3 linked regions of the Coturnix japonica genome follow. The protein of the gene in region 1 binds, or shares a complex with, the protein of each later gene. Links are inferred from orthologs where the notes say so. Each region holds a gene or a part of one and is shown on either strand. Other genes may lie near its edges.

What was found. The genes of interacting proteins can lie anywhere in the genome.
Region 2: NUP58 (region 1) and NUP93 share a complex: the UniProt entries of both Homo sapiens proteins name them as parts of the p62 complex. The link is inferred for Coturnix japonica from reciprocal best matches to the Homo sapiens genes NUP58 and NUP93.
Region 3: the proteins of NUP58 (region 1) and NUP54 are in contact, whole or in part, in a crystal structure (PDB 4JO7), measured with the Homo sapiens proteins. The link is inferred for Coturnix japonica from reciprocal best matches to the Homo sapiens genes NUP58 and NUP54. Residues at the interface, in NP_054808.1 of Homo sapiens: Pro342, Tyr345, Phe346, Leu349, Val350, Phe353, Gln356, Leu357, Tyr360, Gln363, Ile364, Leu367, Leu371, Gln374, Ser378, Ile392, Tyr393, Phe396, Leu399, Ala400, Leu403, Ile406, His407, Val410, Lys414, Tyr417, Tyr420, Arg421; in NP_059122.2 of Homo sapiens: Tyr453, Leu459, Glu462, His466, Leu467, Gln469, Gln470, Gln471, Gly473, Leu474, His476, Leu477, Ile478, Ile480, Ile481, Asp484, Leu485, Ile488, Lys489, Leu490, Val491.

Annotation. Positions count from the first base shown.
Region 1 is NC_029516.1:158,385,964-158,389,523, reverse strand, and holds part of NUP58 (nucleoporin p58/p45), read left to right. Parts: intron 1-195; coding exon 196-370; intron 371-1,628; coding exon 1,629-1,708; intron 1,709-2,011; coding exon 2,012-2,130; intron 2,131-3,156; coding exon 3,157-3,239; intron 3,240-3,560. UniProt on the Homo sapiens protein: Component of the nuclear pore complex, a complex required for the trafficking across the nuclear membrane.
Region 2 is NC_029526.1:559,016-563,099, forward strand, and holds the start of NUP93 (nuclear pore complex protein Nup93), read left to right. Parts: upstream 1-1,224; 5' UTR 1,225-1,335; intron 1,336-1,615; exon of another isoform or gene 1,616-2,525; intron 2,526-2,536; exon of another isoform or gene 2,537-2,621; intron 2,622-3,150; exon of another isoform or gene 3,151-3,417; intron 3,418-4,084. UniProt on the Homo sapiens protein: Plays a role in the nuclear pore complex (NPC) assembly and/or maintenance. May anchor nucleoporins, but not NUP153 and TPR, to the NPC. During renal development, regulates podocyte migration and proliferation through SMAD4 signaling.
Region 3 is NC_029519.1:44,543,195-44,547,350, forward strand, and holds the start of NUP54 (nucleoporin p54), read left to right. Parts: upstream 1-1,296; 5' UTR 1,297-2,015; coding exon 2,016-2,067; intron 2,068-2,409; coding exon 2,410-2,571; intron 2,572-4,156. Other genes in the region: SCARB2 (lysosome membrane protein 2), read left to right, coding at 497-535. UniProt on the Homo sapiens protein: Component of the nuclear pore complex, a complex required for the trafficking across the nuclear membrane.

The sequences.
Region 1 (3,560 bases):
GCTGTTCTTTTACAGCATTAGCATATTAGGAGTTAATGCTACTCTGCATAATCTTACTATTCAGTAGTTGGTTTTGGGAAAATTAACTTCAGTACTACTTGAATAATGCAACTAAAGTAAATACGTGGGTACTTTAGGTTGAATACATTATTTTCTTTCCTATTACCCCTGTTTGTCTTTTTTTCCCTTCTTTAGGAAATTTGTGAAAGAACAAAAACAAGTTCAGGAAGAAATTAGTAGAATGTCATCTAAAGCAATGCTTAAAGTACAAGAAGATATTAAAGCTCTGAAACAGCTTCTCTCTGTAGTTGCCAGTGGATTACAAAGAAACACTCTTAATATTGACAAGCTGAAAATGGAAACTGCGCAGGTATCGCACACTTTCTGTTAAGCAGAGTTTGAGTGTTCATTGTTTATTGTAGAATCTACAGCTTTCTCAATCAGTCAAGGGAAGTTGTTGAAACTCCAAATTGAAGCAGTTGTAAACAAAGTGAAAAGTTGAATCCCTTCTGATCTTTTTGGAATTACTGGAGGTGACTGACTGAAATCTGCGATGCCAGTGTTTTCAGATAAGTGTAAAAGCAAGGAGAGCGTTACTTAGGAAAGCACCCTACTTGCGTAGACAGCAGAAGGGAATATGCACCCACTGTAGTTTGATTTCAGTTCCCTATTCAACTGATAGTTAGTGAAGGTTTTTTTGCAGTCACGTGCCCAACTCGGGGAGCAGTGGAGACACATGTTTTCTTATCACTTAAAAGGTATTAGGGACCAAAGTGTCTAATTACATCTAGTATTTATTTAATGAAGAAGTCAACTCTGTCTACCAGTCTTTGTATTAACTATCCAACCAGTGTGAGCTCAAGTTTTGGTTCAGGTGCTTTTGAACTTAAGCTCTGTGTTGCTATTGCTTTCATCTGTCTTGTCCTGGCTGCTTGCTTTGTTTCTAAATGTATTTTATTCTAAAGTGAAAATATGCTCCTAAATTTTGAAAAGAGATACTCTGTAGTTGTGCTCTGGCAATTATTTGCTGTGAAAGCAAACAACTTGTTAGTAGTGCTCTTATTTCCTTATGATTAGTAACAAAGCCAGGCACTGAGAAATGATTAATGATAGTATTATTAGAAAGCGTTAAACAACATCTAGTGTAATCATCATGTTTAAAAAGATCTTTTCCATAGGAAAAGAAAATTATCACACTATTAAGCCTTTTTTAAAGGCGAGATAACCCTTCTTGTAATTTCTTTTAGGCATGTTATTTTCTTGTCATTATTTTTCTTAGTCTTTAATAAATTAATAGGCTGTCTGAAGTACAACAGAATGCAAACCTTACCTGTGACAGTCTGCCCATAGCAGGAGGGCTGGACTAGATGATATTAAAAGACTAGATGATGAGTAAACTTTGAGGGTGTACAGCTGCCTGCTTCTTGTCTAAACATATTTTGATATCAGCAGTTCTTCAACTTCATGCCAATCTATTCTTTGAAGAATTTCTGGTCAGATTCTGTTGTAGTTTTAACTTAAATGTTTTCTTCTCATATTTGTGAATTAACTGTAAAATTGTAGTTATGCTCATTTTGAACACTTAATTCAGAATCTTACATTTTATCGATTTTTCCTCATTTATTTAGGAGCTAAAGAATGCAGAAATAGCATTAAGAACACAGAAAACTCCTCCTGGCCTGCAGCATGAAAACACAGCCCCAGCAGAGTGAGTTATTGTTGCTTATAAGAAAGAAAAAAAGCCAATAATATAACTTCCTAAGTTGATGTGTTTTTTTCTTCTTGTTATTCCTGTACTGAATGCTTATACATGTCTACTTATATAGACGTGAGAAATACAGTCCTTGCTCTTTTTCTACTAGTAGAAGAACATCAAGAATGTCATTAGGACATACCTGCTGCAAGTAATGAAATGAGTATAGGCAGCTAATGCGGTGGTGTGGTCTTTGTTTTCAAATGGTGGCAAATCACTAAAATCATGTGATTAAACTTTACTGTTTTACTCACCTAGCTACTTCAGAATCTTGGTAGAGCAGTTTGAAGTACAACTGCAGCAGTATAGGCAACAAATAGAAGAACTGGAAAATCATCTTGCTACTCAAGCAAATAATTCACATATAACTCCACAAGGTAAATGTTTCTACTTACATGTTTCATACACAGAAACTAATATTATACCTATAATAGGCTTAATAATAAAAAACTAACAGTAATTAATCTCCTCATCTAATGTACAGAAACAAATGTTCAGATAAATTCTGTGGTTTGGAATGTGTCCTTGAATTTGTAAAGTCCTTTAAGCTTTGTAAAATGAATTTGCTTCCTGAGGTGCAGTTTGTGGGCTGGGTTTGTGTCATTTGGGAACTTTGGAAGGTGCCTGGGAATATAAATTCCAGCTTCTGTGCATCTGAAAATGAGGTGTAAAGAAGTGTGTTATATTCGTACACTCTGTAAGCATAGGACAGTCTGTCTTCTGCTCTTTCATGAGAGTGGTTTCTGAGTCTTTCCTACATCTATCTGAGGCTCTTGGATGGGATCTGGGAATGGAAGTTTTCCTTGTTTACGTTCCTAATGATCTCATAAGCATCAGAGGAATCGCCCTTCAGTCTTTTCTTAACTTGCCTCCAGATTGCCTGGTTGTTTGGTTTAGGGTTAGGTTTTTTTTTGTTTGTTCTGCTTCCAGACCACTGATTTGTCATTGTGCAGTGTTCTTAATGTTACAGTGGGAAAACCTGATTTCATTTCCATTTAGTTTTACTTTCCTCCCTTCTTCCATCCCCATTAGTGAGACTTGTGTACCTACCTGCTGTTGTAATGTGAGGTCTCCATGCATCATAATTGCCCTACATGAGTGTGGGAAGTGATAAAGTCTTGGTTTTGTTTCTGGTGGGGTGTTTTTATTTAGGGTTTTTTTTCCCCACAAAATTAAGTTTGGAGCCCTGAGAAATGATGCTTCAAAAACTAGTTCTGTGTGTGGGAAGACAGGTGTTACATCACAAGTTCTGGGTTTCCCATAGACATTAATTTATTTCATACAGTCTTTTTGTGCTTTATTCTACCTGGATTCAGAGTGGGCTTCTTGCTACAGTATAAACATTAAGCCTTTCCTCATGGAAGTAAGGTTGTCACTTACAATATTCTATGTGCCTTTTACAGATTTGTCTATGGCTATGCAGCAAATCTATCAAACGTTTGTAGCTTTAGCAGCACAACTTCAGTCCATACATGAAAACGTAAAGGTATGTTGCTTTGATGCATTTCTATGTGTTTAGTGAAAAAACTGGGGAGTCACAGTTACTGATACTGTGTCTTCAACTATGCTTTTTTCTGTTAAATTCTTTTAAGAAATGACAATTGTCTGATATGCTTGGATTAAAAGGGTAACTTCCATTCAGCTGAAGTTGAATTTGAAACATTTGCTAATAGTGATGGTGGCAACTGAGCTGTCACTAAAGTTATAACGTTTTTCATCTAATTTCTTTTTCATTGTTAATCAGTTACATGAAGGATGTTGGTGGGAAGAAATGTGCTCTGGCTTTGTTTTTTCAACCTGTTTCATG
Region 2 (4,084 bases), on another chromosome or scaffold:
CCAGCAGCAAGTGCAGCTGCTGCCACTGAGCAGCCCGCCTCGCCTGTAAATAGCTGCCATGCTTTGGGGACAGGGTGGGGGGTGATGGGGGCCACAAACACAAAACAAAGCTTATTTTTACATGTTTTGTACCTTCTGTGCTGATGGAGGAAATAAATGAGTTTGGCTGAGCCCTGATGCTGCTTGTGACACGTGTGTGGGAGCACTGGTGCTGGGGGCTGCGCCAACCCCCTGTGGGCTGTGGTTTGAGGGGACAGAGTGGTGTCGTGCAGTTGGGGTGCTCTGTTTCACAGCCCCTGGTGAGTGGGGGGCTCAGGGTGCCACATGGGGCAGGTGTGAGCACAGCCCGGCCGGCTCCTGCCCTGGGGGGGCAGACAAGGAGGGGGGTGGGGGCGTGGGAAGGCGCCTGGCTGCTCTTTTCCTTCCGAATACACCTGCCAAGCGAAAGTTGGCCCTACCTGTGCTGCAGGGCACAGCCTGCCCACACATGTCTGTGTGCTGTGTGCTCTGCTCCTGGCCATGCTGCCTCGTCCCATGCTCTGCGGGTGGGGACAGCTCGTGCCCTCCAATGGGGCTGGGAGCCGTGTGGGGTGGGTGGCCCTGAGTCCCCGGGCCCCTCGCTGGGGTGGTGCTGGAGATGGGAAAGGGGCTGCCCCGCTCAGTGTGTATTTGCCTTGTAAATCAGGGCCTGGGCTCCTTCCCAGCCGTGCCCCGGGTTGGAGCAGCCCCCAGGACGAGCTCTGGGGGCCGTGCCTTCAAACATGAGCGCTGTGGGAAGGTGTGAGGGCAATGTCTGCTGAGGGGAGCTGGGCTGAGGGGGGTGTGCGGCCCGGGGTCCCTGCAGGGTGGGTTTTTTAATTGAAATCAAGTTTTTCTTTATGTGAGTGAGTGAGCCTCACATCCTACATGGCACAATGGACACAAGTGGGGAATGGGGAACAGATGGCTGTGGGGGTTCAGGGCAGCGAACAGCCGTACTGATGGCAGTCTGCAGGCGTTCCGCTTTTCGTTTATAGTGTTTTCATCTCTGACCCCCGGCCCCGCGCGGCCGTCGGGCCGTTCCTCATTGGAAGAGGCGGCGGGCAGCCTCGAACCCGCGTCTCCCGGCTCACCGCCCCCATAACCACGCACAGCCCGCGCCGCCTCCCAGCGCCTCAATCACTTCTTGTCGCGAGACGAGCTGGAGGGGCGGGACTCAGCTCGACAACCAATGGAAATGCGTAGCGTCAGGAAGCGCGCCGGCTCGACCAATGGGCTGGCGGGGAAGGGGGAGAGCGTGGCCAATGGTGGCGCGCGGCGCGGGCGTGCAGGCGCGGCGGCCGGAGCGGCGGGCAGGTGAGTGAGGGGCGGTGGGCGCGGCGGGGATCGCGGTGCGGGCGGCCTCCGTCCTCCGTCCTCACATCGTTCTGCTCCCCGGCTCCTGAGCTCGGCGCTCCCTGCCCTGGGCGGGCGCTGAGGCGCGGGGCCTCCTGTGAGCGGGTGCCCTCGGGCCGAGGCAATGTCTGCCAGCTGTGCGGGCCGCTGCCGGGGGTCCGGGCCGGGCTGTGTGAGGGCTGGAGGCGGGGGGAGATGCACGGGGTGATGGCGGGTGGGGCCGACATGAGGGGACCGAAAGGATGGACTGACTGGGAATGGCTACATCAGCTCGTGTGGTTCCTGCTTGTTCCTGCGGTGCTGATAGCAAAGGAAAGATTGTGGGGAGAGGATCCGAGCTACAACATAAGGAGCGTGAGGGGAGTGAGCAGGGCAGGCGGCACGGCAGTGCAGTAAGACCTCAGAAACAGCTGGTTTTATTCAGTTTGTGCTGTAAAAGCTCTATGAGACCAGAGCTTGGGAGCCGCGATCAAAGGGTTGGTAACTTACACACCTGCCTGCAGCTGAAGAACAAAGCATACAGGACTGGGAAATATAGGGATGGCAGCTGATTTAATTTGTGGGTGGTGGAATGAACACTGAGTTGAGGAGTTCGTTGCTGTGTGCTCTGTTCAGGACTTTCCTACATCCAGGGCACTGTACCAGCTGGAGCACCACATGCAGCTTGGAGCCCTTACGTGTTTGGTTTTAGTGTGGCTTGTGCTTTTAGCTTAAACCAGGAGGTGGTGTGGCTCCCTTTGCTAGGTTTGATTAAAAGTCGTGTAGCAGAGGGCAATTTGTGGACAACATGTAATAGATGTGTGGTTTGCAATCGGTCCTTTTCCCTTATAGAAGTTGAAAATGAGTCAGGGACAGACCTTGGGAGCGGGAGCAGGTGACCTGTGTGTGCTGCTGGTGGGGCTCAGTTGTCTGTACCATTCCTGCCCTACGTGTGCTCTGTTTAACAAGCTCATTGACAGTTCCTGCATTCTTAGAAAGGAGCTTAATATCAGTGTCTAATATCACGGAAGTGGCATTTTTCATTCATTCAAGATATACATGTATGTATTTTGCCGCCTGCTCTTTGCTTTCATACTCAGTCACTTACTCTCTTCCTTCCAAAGGGAGCGGATGCTGACTTGTCACATGGGTCTCTGGAGCACTCTGAGAGGGTAACGCTGGATTTCTTCCTCTTTGTTTTGTCTTGGGAAGAATCTTTTTGCCCCTGGTTGGATTGTACTCTTTATCAGCTCTTCTGATTGCAGTGGGTGAGGCTTCCCTCTGAATTTTTAGTCAGTCTCTTTAAATAAATTAATTATAATTAGGTGGCACAAAGACTGTCAGTGTATGAAGTACAGCAGACACTTGCTTACACATGGGAGCTCTTCAGCTTGAAGTCTTTATGAAGCTCATATGGTGAAATGTTCAGCATGGCCGTATTTGGAGTAGGACAGCACTCTTCATCTGCTAGCACTGCAGGGCCTGGCTTTCCACGACCAGCCGGCATTTATGGTCAGTCTGAACAGAATTAGAAACCTGTCATCATTTCTGATTTCATTTTGGCTGAAATCCAGCCAGCTTGTAGAGTTTGTAACATCTACATGCGGTTTTAAATGTTGGGAAAACATTAAATGGGGCTTTTATTGGACAAGCAATAGCAGACTAATGCAGCAGCTTCTATTGATAAGTCATCAAAGTCGTTTTACAGAAGGGCTTTTTCAGCCCTGGCTTCTAGCCCTGGGTCGATCCAGTTTCACCGAAGTTAGTTTAATTTCTGGTGTATTTTCTCTCCCTTAGGTGTAAGTTGTTGCACATTCTGCAGCCAGACACAACAGTCTGCTGTCATTTGCTCGTCCCTGTGGCAGCAGTTTTCCATCTTGCACAGCGGCATTTGGAGTCAGACTGCAGCCTCCTGAATGCAGTAAATTCTGACAGCATGGAGACTAAGTAGTTCATGCTGTTACCCGGTCTGGATGTTTGAAGTCTGTCCCTTGGAACACGCTGCTGTTTGAGCTCTAGAGAAAGGTTTGAGCTCTCATTCCCAGTGTTTGGTTATAATCAAAGGTAGTTGGAGTTGCTTCAAATTAACAAGTTTATTCTATATTTGCTGAATTCAGTCTCTGTTTTCCAGAGTCATTACGGTTGTCCTACCTTGGCAGATTTGTGGGACAGCCTGTATATGGAATTGACTTGGGATCCGTGCTTGACAATTGCAGTCTGTGGAGCTATTTGTAGTCCCCTGACTCTCTGTGCTTTTGGTTTTAGAGCTCTGAGAAGTCAGTGCCTTCTCACACTCTTGGCTTTTCATCTTGTTCTTAATGAGAAGAGGAAGCAGACTGATTTGAATCAAATCAAGCTGAAGTCTGTGCTGCTCCTGCACTCACTGCTTCCTGCTTTCTAACGGTACAGGAGCGTGGCTGTTGTGGTCAGCCTCTGCCAGTGCAGGCAGCTTCTGCTGGGGCACACTGAGGTATCACAAGTAAACACTGGAAAGATGCTCTGTACTGCATTGCAGAGCATGGAACTGCTGCTTTCCACCACGCCCCTCTCTCCTCCCAGCCATCTCAGTGGCATGCTAGTCTGTTCAAACAAATCCAGACCCTGCTGTCTCTCCTGAACAATAGGTCAGTGCACATGGGGTTGCTACGTCCCCTAGCAGCTCCTGGTTTTCCAGAGGTGGATGAGGGATGGATGTGGAATTCTCTGTGCCTGGATGGAGGCTGTGGAGCTC
Region 3 (4,156 bases), on another chromosome or scaffold:
TATTTTCTCTGTATTATTTTTGTTGCTTTTCCTGCAAACATAAAAGTGATTCTGCCAATCAGAGCTATCTTTGTGATGCAGGGTGACTGTGGTCACATGGAAAGTACTACAGGGAGCCTGAGCAATCTCAGCTGTCAAGTATGTATATATCAGTATGCTGAATGCCCGTGTCACCTGGAGCAGGCAGCCCCCTGTATGGGGTGCGTCCTGGCCCTTTTCCTCCACTCCCCCCTGCCTCACTTCTGCCTCTGCACATGCACAGGGAAATCTGGAACATCTCTGCATCATCCCAGTGCTGCTACCTGCCAAAGCTGCCATCCACCCTCCAGCACCTCCCTTGCACAGTGAGGGTTCCCTTAAGTAAATCTGCACTTAGAAGTAGGAGCCAAGAGCTTTTTCCTTTCCTCTCTGGAGTTTAGGAAATTTAGCTTCCCTGCACGGAAGCTCTCTAATGTGCCACATTCAATCTTCCTGTGTTGCAACTTTTTTCTTTCAGAGCACTGAAGAAGAAAGGTCCCCGCTCATCAGGACATAGTAGTAGATCTTCTTAAATACGTGAGCTTGGAGAATAAATCATTAGAGCTTACCTAATACCAGCTACCACTACCCAGTGTTGTCCACTGTGGAGAAACAGTCGTGTCAAGTGTAACGTTCAAAGATGGAAGAGAATCTGCACTGTCGTCAGGGGAGGAGACTTTTCTTAGCAGCTAAGTTACAACTACTGAACTACATTTTAAAACTGCTCGAGATCCTGCTTTTTTCAGCCCCGCACTCTCTCGTACCTGCACTGACACTCAGAGACCATCATAACCACTTCCTCGGTGAAAATAAAACGGCCTGATTCGTTACAGAAACGACGGGTAACATTTACAAATGGCCTTAGGAGCGTGGGCTGCAAAGAACCCTTGTAGAGATGCAGCAGGTTCCTGTGTCACTCACACACCTGTCGGTTTCCTGTAGCCTCACTGTTGTCTTTTCTGTAAAGTCCTGCGCGCTGCTTCCTGCCGGTTTGCACTGACTGTTTGGTATTAAAGTACAGAACGGATCTGTACAACTGATCCAAACCGCTGCGTGGAATTCCTTAAACACCTGGTGCTAGCAGGTAGAAAGAAGCCAACCCCTGGGAGTGCTCTTCCATTCAGACCTTGTAGCTGTTCTAACCCTGCATGGGATCCCATTGCTTGTAGGGGATATCCTTAAAGTTCATGGGGTTCTTTTCCCTTCAACTGAAAAAGAGAAAGCAAACCAAACTTGCATGGTGTTGCTGTAAGGCACAGCAGAGGTGTGCTTTTGCTCACTGGTGGTATCTCAGCTACCAGCAGTGTGCGTTTTGTACACACGGGTTTGTTGGTGACATTTGTTGTTTGGGATCAAAACACACCTCCAGCCTGAGGTACGTGCAAGGCCTGGAAAAGCTCTCAGCATTTTTTCCTCGCCAAGTGGAAGCTGCTTTATGAAAACCAGTCCCAGCAGTGGGACTTTTCCCACTGATGGAGCATTCTAATTGAGACGCGTTTCCATTAGATGTAGACAGTGACACACGTTTTAAAATGTATCATTTTCTTCCACACAGAGGTATAGCGGGGTTTATCCTGTTTGTTTTTCTCCATTGGTTTGCTTCGTTGGGTTTTTTTTGCCTTGTGGGTGCCTCGTTCAAGTTTTATTCTAACTGGGCTGGCTAACGATGCTCACCGTTACTTAGGCTCCACATTACCAAGCCCTGTCTGAGCTTCTCTCGGTAAACAGGCGAGAAAGTTCTAAGAGAACGTTAGCGCTTCCGATGGCGAAAGGCCTACAGCAGGGCGGTCATTACAGCAGGCCGGTCTCTCCGTCACCCTCCGCCCGCCCCCCGTCCCGCAGTATCTGTGCTGGACCGCCTGGCGGCGCGTTATGGCGCAGGCGGAGCATGGCGGCCCGCCCCGTCTGGAAGCGCCGTAGTGACGGGGCCGGAAGCACCACCCGTTGTTTCCTGGCGGTGCGGGCTGCGGGCACGCCTCCCGCCGCTGCGGCCCCTCATGGCCTTCAACTTCGGGGCGGCGGCGGGCGCCGGGGCCTCCAACCCTAGCGGTGAGTGCGGGGCCTCCGCGTGGGGATGGAGGGAGAGCCGTGAAGGGCCGGCTGTGAGTGCGGCTGGAGCCAGCCCCGCCGGCGGGCTGCAGGGCGACACTGGGCTTACTGTGCCATACGGCTCAGGAACGCCATCCCAATAGCAACGTGGGGAGAACGGGGTTAAACCTTGCTTTTAGCTGCTAAGCGTTTCGTGCTTGGTGCCAGTTAATGCCTTACTCTCGTTATTAACTATGCCTGCCTCGTCTTTAGTGCCAAAACGGTATGTCAGCTGTTACTTCCGAACCTACCTTTCTGCAGAACTAACGCCGCCTTGCTCTCTTTCTGCTTCATGCTTGTCAGGATTTGGTGGGCTTGAAACCACAAACTCCACCGCCGGTGGGTTTAATTTTGGGGGTTTCGGATTAGCTGCTAATCCCGCAGTGAATTTTAATATTGGGAATTTCGGTGTTTCTACTACCTCAACTCCGCCATTCAATTTTGGTAACAGTCTGGCAAGTGCAGGTAGATATTACACATATACTTGTTCTGTAATAAATGTGAATAGCAGAGGTCCAAGAATTGCGTTCCTGACTCAGAATCTGTGCTGAACTTCCTTTATATACAGTGAAGACTGGAGGCAAAAGCTCTGTAGTGGAATGAGTTATAGAGCCGTGCAATTATAAGGGTTTTTATTTTTGCCTACTAAATTCTCCAGAAGTAGCTGATAAGGAAAAATGACCACATGGCTGATTAGACACTGAACTGGAGATGAATCACAGTAACCTGCTAGCCTTATCCCATCCAAAATCGAGTCTCAATCACACAGCAGAACTGAAACATTGGTTCTGCCTTTAGGTCTGGGCCATCAGAACTGTTGCAGAGCTGGTCCCTAATGCCTCATTTCCTCACGTGACATTCTTGGACTGCTGCAGTCATGGTTTTCATCCTCCCCATGTCTCCTCATCGGCCTTCTGTTGGTTGCCATGAATGTGCTGCACTTCAGTTGTTTCCGTGGAGAAACAAATTTTATACGATCAGCAATAAAATGAACAGCTCTCACTTTTACCTCCATTCCTAAAACTGTTCTGCCTCTTGACGTGGAGCATGTCCCAGCAAAGTAATTCCCTGGGGGGGTTTTGTCCAGCATGGTGTGTGCTGACTGCTTGTTGAGAAAACCCTTTGTAGCCCCATGTAGGCTCATCAGTTCTGAGTAACCAGCTGATAAATTTCCAGCTAAGTCTGTCCCATTTTGTTAAAACAAAATTGCTCAACTATATGGATTTCTCACACTTTTTCCTGAATGGAATTCTCCCTTGGTTCTTGTTGCCGCTGCTCGTATAGGAGTTATATTCATTCCACGGCATCATCACTCCCTGTGTTAGAATACTCCTACCTGTTTTGTGAGCTCAAGGGATCTGGTTTGGTTTTTAACTGGGTATGAGTGCTACTGGACTGTATTTCTTGAGCTGAATTGTAACTAATCCAAGAGAACTTGGATATATTATTTTGTTCAGTAGTTTGCACTTTTAGAGCCTTCTCTAAGAAAGGGTGTTAAATTGCTGTGAACACAAATCTGTCTAAAAATTGTGTCGTCTGCTGTTGCTGCTAGGGTTGCTTATGTGCTGATAGGACTGAAACCTGGAAGTTTCAGGGAGCAGCTCTTACATTTAGTTGTGTCGTTTGCTGAATTAAAATAAAATGTGGCTGCACATCAGCTTTGATTTGAGCTCTTTATTTTGTATGTATATACAAGACGGTAAGTGCAGTAGGTCTGAACAGGCTTCTTTTTTGCTGTTGACACGTGAATGAGAACTGGCAGCATTGCTTTGTTTTGATACATTGTATATACTAGACTGTCCATCTTCATTTAAATGTGTGTAAAATCGGTCAGAAACATGGAGGATTTGAAACACGGGGCTATTCAGGTGTCCATATGCTGCACATTGGGTCAGATGGTGCATTAGCAAAGAGATGGTGTGGTCCGAAGGACAAATGCAAAGATTTTTGGGAGCTGTGGTGGAGCTTGGGCCTGTGCTTGGGTTTCCCCCTGCTAGCCAGCAGCTGGTTTTCCTGGAAACCTGTGGGCAGCTGCTAAGTTTAGTGTGTT